2 linked regions of the Schizosaccharomyces pombe genome follow. The gene in region 2 interacts genetically with the main gene of each other region. Each region holds a gene or a part of one and is shown on either strand. Other genes may lie near its edges.

Region 1 (3,724 bases), on a different chromosome or scaffold from region 2:
GAAATACTACTTGGTGCAAGACGCTGGTTTGCTTCAACATCATTTAGTCTAGCAGCTGTATATGATGCTCCACTTAAAAAAGCTATAGGAAACATTAAAAAGTTTTCGATTGGATCATTAGGTTTAACTTATATGATTTCTCCAGTGATGCTTTTACTTGATGCAGGAGGTTTAAGTTTGGGAACGAGAATGTCGATGGTTTTCTTGGGTATGTTTCATCAAGAAATCGGATTACCAAAATTTCCAAAGCAAATTTATTAACATGTTAGCATGTACTACTACTAGTTTGTCGACTGCAATAATTCACTGGGCTGCTAAATCTTATGTTTCGGAGGCAACGTTAAAGGGAAACGTGCTATCTTTAAATACATTTAATATTCTAGGAAAAAAGCGCTTATCCCAATATACTTTAGACAAGCTCAAAATCCCTGATACCAACAATAGTCGTCCATTCGCAAACCTTGAAAGCACTACTGTACCCAAACGATATTTTTACTTGCACCCAGAATTGGCTACGCCAATTTTTAATGCTATACGGCAGGCACAGCAACCTAAGCAAATAAACAAAAACGATTCGAAATAGATATCATAATAACTATATAAGTTTTTTAATATAAAATTCAATGTATTGTAATTTAGGTCTTAATCGAGTTTGAAATGTAGAACGAATAAAATAATGCTCATCTTTTGAATAAAAAAGGGAGGAAAAAAATGGTAAAGATTGATTAATGAAAGTGTATGATATGAATAAATAGTACCGTATCCGATTGTTCTCGAATATGTGTGAATTATCTGACGACAGTGTTTTAAAACTTCATTTCAAGTCCTTTTTTAGTTAAACGGAATGCTCTTCCACAAGTAGTCATAAACGAATCAACCAGTCCGGCTCCTATGGCGTCGCAAAGTCGAAACTTCCAACCAAAAAATGCTTCGTTCTTCTTTTTGCAAGCTACCGAAACATTGCGATTATATAGTGACGATTCAATTACTTCGCGGTACGGCCTCTTTTTTAAATAATTTGACAAGTCGTTTCTGCTGTTACGCAAAATATGAGTAAAAATGCCAAGGTTGGGTAATGAGATTCCGTAAGAGTCAGTGCCAGCAAGAATAAGAAAGCCCATACTAATCAGCAGTCGTCGTTCCTCCCAATTAAATTTCAACTCCTCGGATGTGTAGGAAGGTAGTGGATTTTCAATCAATAGTTTATGCAACTTAAAGATTAGCGTATAAATATGTTCCTGATCTTTGAACTTGCACAAATAGTATGTAAATAATTTATCAAACTCAGGTCGCAAAATTAAGCAAGACTCACCACAGAACTTGTCAGATCTATTTAGGTAAAGACGACGGATGTCTCCTGTACGTATAGATTGTTCTAACTCTTCAGCAACACTGGTATAGTTTGATTGAAATAAGCCTATCAACTGTGTTTCCACAATCATTCGCGGACACTGTGCAACTAAAACATTCGTTTGCTGGCGCATTTGAATGTCACGAAACATTTCCTCAACTAAAACTTCTATAGAGTTTCGTATCGTTTTGTTTCTTAATACAATCAATGGAGGAACATTGTACGAAATGATGTTTAATGGTGATTGACCAGTACACATAGATGCTTTAGAGTGGTTTTTTTCAATTGCTAAAGAAGTCTTTCTCCTTTTGCTAAACAGTCTGTCTATTTTAGTCTGTCCATTCTTCTTTTTATTTATTTTTAATAAAGCAGGCATTGCCAAGGTAGGTAAGGGAAGTAACTTACTTTACAGAAATTTCGTTAGTCGAGTTTTCATCACCTTCAACATTTAACGCAGTGATTTTTTAATTGCCAGCTACGCAGTTTAATAACTATTTTAACGATACGAAAAACTGCAGTGAGTTTTCCTTGCGACTTATACAGTAGTACAGGAAAATAAGTAGCAACTCGTTAAAGATATTCTAAATTTGGGGTTACAATGTAACCTATTAGTAAAATAGTTTATAGTTGGGCTAAGGAACGAGGTTTAGTGGTGGCTTCATTATAATCTTTTTAATGGTTCATAACAGTGGGAGTCTATTTAAATTAATAAAAGGGTGGTTATCGGCAATTATCAATACACGGATTGAACTAAAATCCTAACATATGGCATACAGTGAGTGTTGCACAACTGTAGTGTCAGCAATACTACACTACGCTATGATACATTACGTTGCGTATCACTATATGTCATATGTTGGAATACTAGCTAAGATCCGTTTATTGATAATCACGGGTAACTATCCGTCTATATACATAGATACCCGTTGATAACAACTATTTAGAAATATTATAAATAGCGTTACAACTGAACCTCGTTCCTCAGTTCAGTTATGAGCTATATTAGTGATAGGTAACATTATAACCCAGTTAATACAATACCTATACTCAGTTGCTACTTATACAACCTGTGTATTGTAATATAATAGACCACAAGGAAAACTCACCGCAGTTCTACGTATCCTTAAATCAGATACCAAACTGCGTAGCTTACATGTAGCTAGTGTAGTATTGCTGACATGTAAAATAGTAATACTATATAACGTAGTATAAGTATTGATGCATTATCTAATCGGTTGTAGGCAAAGCCAGTAATTGAACTAAATATACTTTGTACGACGAAAGGTATTGATACCAACCAAGAACTTGTTTTTTCTTTCTGGACTGGCTTATAGCATTCCCCTTGGAATTAGAATAAAAATCCTGTCTACACAGTGAACAAATATATGTAGTGATGCATAGTGAAGTGTAGCATAATTTACGCTTATGGTAAGGGAAAAAATTTGCTCCAGCAGTGACTTGAACACTGGGCCTCTTGCTTACTAGGCAAGCGCTCTACCACTGAGCTACAAGAGCTAATTACGAATTACCTAAAGTTTGCATTTAACAATGAGAATGTATCCTCGAATTGATTATTTGACTGCTTCCTATACTTTAATTTGGTTTGTATTTCAAAACTGATTGATTAGCACACAATACAATTTTTTTTTTAACTTGCCAATAAAATACACATTACATTAAACAAGGGGAATATGTGATATTTAATATTATTATACTGGTTCTGGGCGCTGGAAATATAAATGCATTAAAAAGTTAATAAAATAAAATATGAGATGCTTAGATAATTATTATTTTGGAAAATATTCAAAATAAGAAGTTGTCAATTTAAATAAATATAGGCACTAAATAAGCTTTTGATCAAAACAAAGAAAAAATATAAAGTAAAAATAAAAGCATTAAAACAGTGAGATCCTTTCTAAAAATACAAGCAAAAGTGAGTGAAGATTAAATATCAAATCATTTGTGTAACTTTGATTGGTTCGTATAATTAAGTATGCCAGATATGATTAAGGACAAGTGTTGCAAAGTAATAGGTTTGGCAAGGTAAGAATCAAAACCACTATCTTTGCAGCTTAAAACAACATGAGGTAAAGCATTCGCACTAAGTGCAACTATAGGAACTTTAGGGTAATCGTTTTCCAATTCGTATTTACGAATTTCATTACATGCCTGGTAACCATCCATAACAGGCATTTGTAAATCCATTAGAATAAGAGAGTAAAAATTAGGCTTTTCACGTTTCCATTCTTCAACACATTGCAAACCGTCCATGGTGACCTTGAATTTGACACCAATTCTTTCAAGGTAACGGCTTATAACCTTAATATTGATAATGTTGTCTTCCGCCAACAACACGCTAAAGCCAGACTTTGC
Region 2 (3,930 bases):
TGAGTCCAAAGACTCCTTGGAATAAGGAAGAAGTAAGCTATAGGGTGATTGCAAAGAAACACGCTTTAAATGTTTAAAAGCTCCCAACTGAAAATCATTAACCTCAAGGCCTGGTTGATGTATAATTAAGGTAGCTGTATTGCATGTCGAAAGTGCCTCAATTGCGGCGTCAAAAAACATCATAGGGCAAGTGGATATTGAAGAATCATCGGATGATTTGGGGAGTTTGCTGTTTTTAGTTAGATTAAATAATTTACACAGTATAATGCCATCGATGGATGCAGGACATACGAGTTCGTAGAAAATAAGAAAATCGGCGAAGTATCTTTAAATGCTGATACTAAAGAAAAGCAAACTATAAATAAAATACTCCAAGAAAACATTTTGACACTAAATTTTCTTTACTTTGGACAAGTTTGGATGTTGTCAATTGCTTGAGCGTTGGAGTGGTAGAGAATAGCTCTATATACTACTTTCAGTATCTAAAGGTACTAAAATCCTTCTGAATGAACAAGCTACATATAAGCAGATAGATTATGTAAATATAACATGTTATTTACGAGAAAAAAATAATACTACAAAACACAAGACGGTGTAGATTTTGTTCCAAAATCATGACAATAGTCCATGACACTTGTTATACACAAAAACCCTTATTTATTACTCAGTCCAAAATACCCGTTTATAAAAGACGTGCCCTTGTAAATCCCTTTTGCTTTCAGCCACTCAAAGCTTTTTCACATAACTAATTAACATCGAAGGAAAGAAATGTATCAGAAATTTGAAACAGGCAAAGTCAAATGGTGTTTATAAATACATTGTCAAAACTCTTTCTTCTAGCCTTAGTAGAAAAATGGTAATTATTTTAAAATACTTTTTTTTTTCAATTTAGGAAAGCGAAAGTCAGTTTCACTTATTCCCTTTGCCTTCTCCAGAAGAACCCCGTTTTTGAGCACGCAGTTCACTTTTCTTAAGAGGTCTTGCATCTTGAATGTGCACAATGTGTCTTTTATGAGCAGCAAGATTGGTGTCACTAGTCCAAATTGGCAGAGAGGCACTGTCAGCTGTTTTAATCGCAACATTATCAATTGCAGACCACCCTTTCGGAATGAAATTAGTTAGCAGACACTTCAATACAGTCGTAATATTCTCCAACAATTGTTCATTGGTTTGAGTGGCCAAACCACAGAGAATGGTATGACTAGTGCCGGCAGATAACTTAAGATAAGTAGAATGAAGACAACGAGCAACTTGATTACGCAAAGTCTCTTTCTTTTGTAAAACAGAAATAGGAAATGGCTTAATTTTTTTCTGTTCAAAAACTTTCCCCATCAATAGGGGGATGTATTTTAATACACGATCATCAACCAAAAAAAGGTTGTGAGAGTCTCGTAGCTCACATTTTTCTCGGATTGTTTTATACTTTAATTTCAATCTCGGGATGCTAAGTACTTTTGTAATGACTTCGTCAAGCCCTTGTTGCTCCACCAGATCTTGATATGTCTGCTGTGAATCTTTCACAATCAAACAAGCATCTGTTACATGCATTATCCTGTGCGGAAGGAATCTGTAAAATAGTTAGTACCTTATAATTTTAATGAAGAACACGCATCGATTCTATGAATGTTACAACAAGCTTGATTTATTAGCAAATCAACAAAACCGTAATACCTCTTTATTTCTGCACAAGCAGTAGAAGCTTAAGGTTTTAAGTAATTATAAGAACAAAAATTTTATTGTTGATCTTATTACTTCAGGAAACTTAATTCATCATTAATGCTCACTTACACTTTTGATGGTCTTCTAAGCGACTCTTTCTCAACGGGTTGGAATGTATTAACCTGAATATAAACCTTTTCTTTTTCAATAGGTTTATCAGAGGATCGAATGTGCTGCAGCAGGGCTCTAATTGTTTTCTCTAGCTATTGATTATTTGTAAGTAAATTGCACGATAATTTGAAATTAAAAAAAAAATTTCTTACTAATTTTATGTCAATTTTATCCAATGACTTTAAATTTTTCTTTTTTTCACTTGTAATCGCCATTTCTATTAAGATGTAAGTAATGGATGGCTTTTTGCAAGTTCAACTTGGGTTGGTCAGAGAAGTTAATATTACAATGCTATTGAAAGTTCTGTAGCATATCATTATCAAAGTTTAGTTTGTAAAGAATTAATCAAAGAACAATTGTTCTGTCTTATATGCCATGGCCTTATTAAATTGATGGCTTTGAAACGATACTAGATAAATAAGGCCAACAACTCAAGAACCGCAAATGTCGAATGAATGGAAAACTTATTATCTATTACTTGTTTAACAATTTTCTTTTAGTGGTTATTGTAAATTTGAATCATCGCTTTTCGCAAAACTCCGCATATTGAAAACCCTCATCTATTCGACTGTAAAAACGGAATTCAATAGATATGAAATTTCTATACAACCGCACATATAAAAGGAAACCTTGTAACATAATTTTTACATTCATACCTACACTATGAATGCAGTATACAGATTACTTTTTGACTAAAGTAAAAGAAATAACACACACGAAAGAAGCAAGAGAAAACAAACATTCATAAAGAATATCATATCATTTCTGTTATTCATAAAAGATTATGCTACAAATTGCTCACCCTTCGTAATGCTCTTTTTCAGCTCACCCAAAGCTACCTTAAGAAGGCTCTCCTCATAATCATTGATTTTACCAACAGGGTGAATGGTGTCAACCCCATCCTTACCCAAAGTTACACGAGAGGCAAAGAAATCAATTCCTTGATCCTTGTACAGAGGGGACTCCACAAAGGTGCATTCCTCAACGCCAGACTCACCAGCCAAAGCACGGAGTACGGAGGAGGCCATACGAGCACCGGCATAGGCCATAGACAAGGTCGCACTTCCAGCACCAGCCTTCGCCTTTACAACCTCATCACCACCAAATTGGATACGGTGAATAAGTGCGTCACGCTTTTCACCAGTCAATTCAACACCGCCTTGGGACAACAAAGGTACGATGGTCGCACCGGAATGACCGCCAACAACAGGAATATGAAGAAGTTCTGCCTTGCCATTAGTGACTTGAGAGGTGAAACGGCTGGCACGAACAGAGTCAAGTGTGGTGACACCAAACAAATGTTTGGGTTGATGAACGCCAACACGTTCTAAAGCCTTTTTAAAGATGGGCACAGTAGAGTTTACGGGGTTAGTGACAACGAGATATTTGGCTTCGGGACAAGTTTCACCTGCTGCAAAAGCAAGGTCCCGCACAATCGATGCGTTAGTAGCAAAGAGATCATCACGAGTCATTCCGGGCTTACGGGGAACACCAGCAGGAATAATGACCACATCAGCACCGTTCAAGGCTTTTTCAAGTCCCTTGTCATCAGGAGCATAGCCAACAACATTGGAAGTGGTATTGATATGTCCAATATCGGCAGCAACGCCAGGAGCTCCCCTAATATCGAACAAGGCCAATTCACTAACCTTATCGTTCAGTTTTAAAAGCATTGACAAAGGCTGGCCAATACCTCCTCCAGCACCCAAAACGGCTACTTTGAATGCGCGACTGGAGGTCGTAGAAAAAGAACGGGGAGCGATACTCTTAAGGGGAGTAAAGTTTTTGAAAGCTACTTTGGCAAACATCTTTGAAAGGTACAAATTCGCAAAGCAAAGTAGAGAACACGGGTATTTAAAAAAAATAGAGAGAGTGTGTGTGAGACAGAGAGGGGGGTAAAAGAAATTTCAATAGAAAATGTCCAGTTGAAAGGTTGATTCTTCTTTTCTTCAGAAGATACTAGACACTATATCAAAAGTTAGAAAAATTTGTTGAAAATAAAATATGTATATATATGCAAACATGAGTAGCCGCATCCTACACCATAACGTTTATACGGACTGACTAGCAAAGCAAAGCTACTCGACATCCTGGTTACAA

Evidence for each region.
Region 1: mutations in SPOM_SPCC306.07C (region 2) and mug51 together harm fitness more than expected from each alone (negative genetic interaction), as found in Schizosaccharomyces pombe (one large-scale study listed by BioGRID).

The regions. Positions count from the first base shown.
Region 1 is NC_003424.3:4,714,573-4,718,296, reverse strand, and holds mug51 (variant protein kinase 19 family protein), read right to left. Parts: upstream 1,748-3,724; 5' UTR 1,728-1,747; coding exon 807-1,727; 3' UTR 584-806; downstream 1-583. Other genes in the region: SPOM_SPAC1834.10C (uncharacterized protein), read left to right, coding at 1-208, 270-583; phosphorelay sensor kinase Mak1, read right to left, coding at 3,308-3,724. UniProt on the Schizosaccharomyces pombe protein: Serine/threonine-protein kinase. Has a role in meiosis.
Region 2 is NC_003421.2:419,091-423,020, forward strand, and holds SPOM_SPCC306.07C (U3 snoRNP-associated Cic1/Utp30 family protein), read right to left. Parts: upstream 2,081-3,930; 5' UTR 2,046-2,080; coding exon 1,983-2,045; intron 1,923-1,982; coding exon 1,789-1,922; intron 1,610-1,788; exon of another isoform or gene 1,568-1,609; coding exon 910-1,567; 3' UTR 539-909; downstream 1-538. Other genes in the region: family protein BIG1, read right to left, coding at 1-229, 292-383; mdh1 (malate dehydrogenase), read right to left, coding at 2,613-3,638. UniProt on the Schizosaccharomyces pombe protein: Involved in rRNA-processing and ribosome biosynthesis.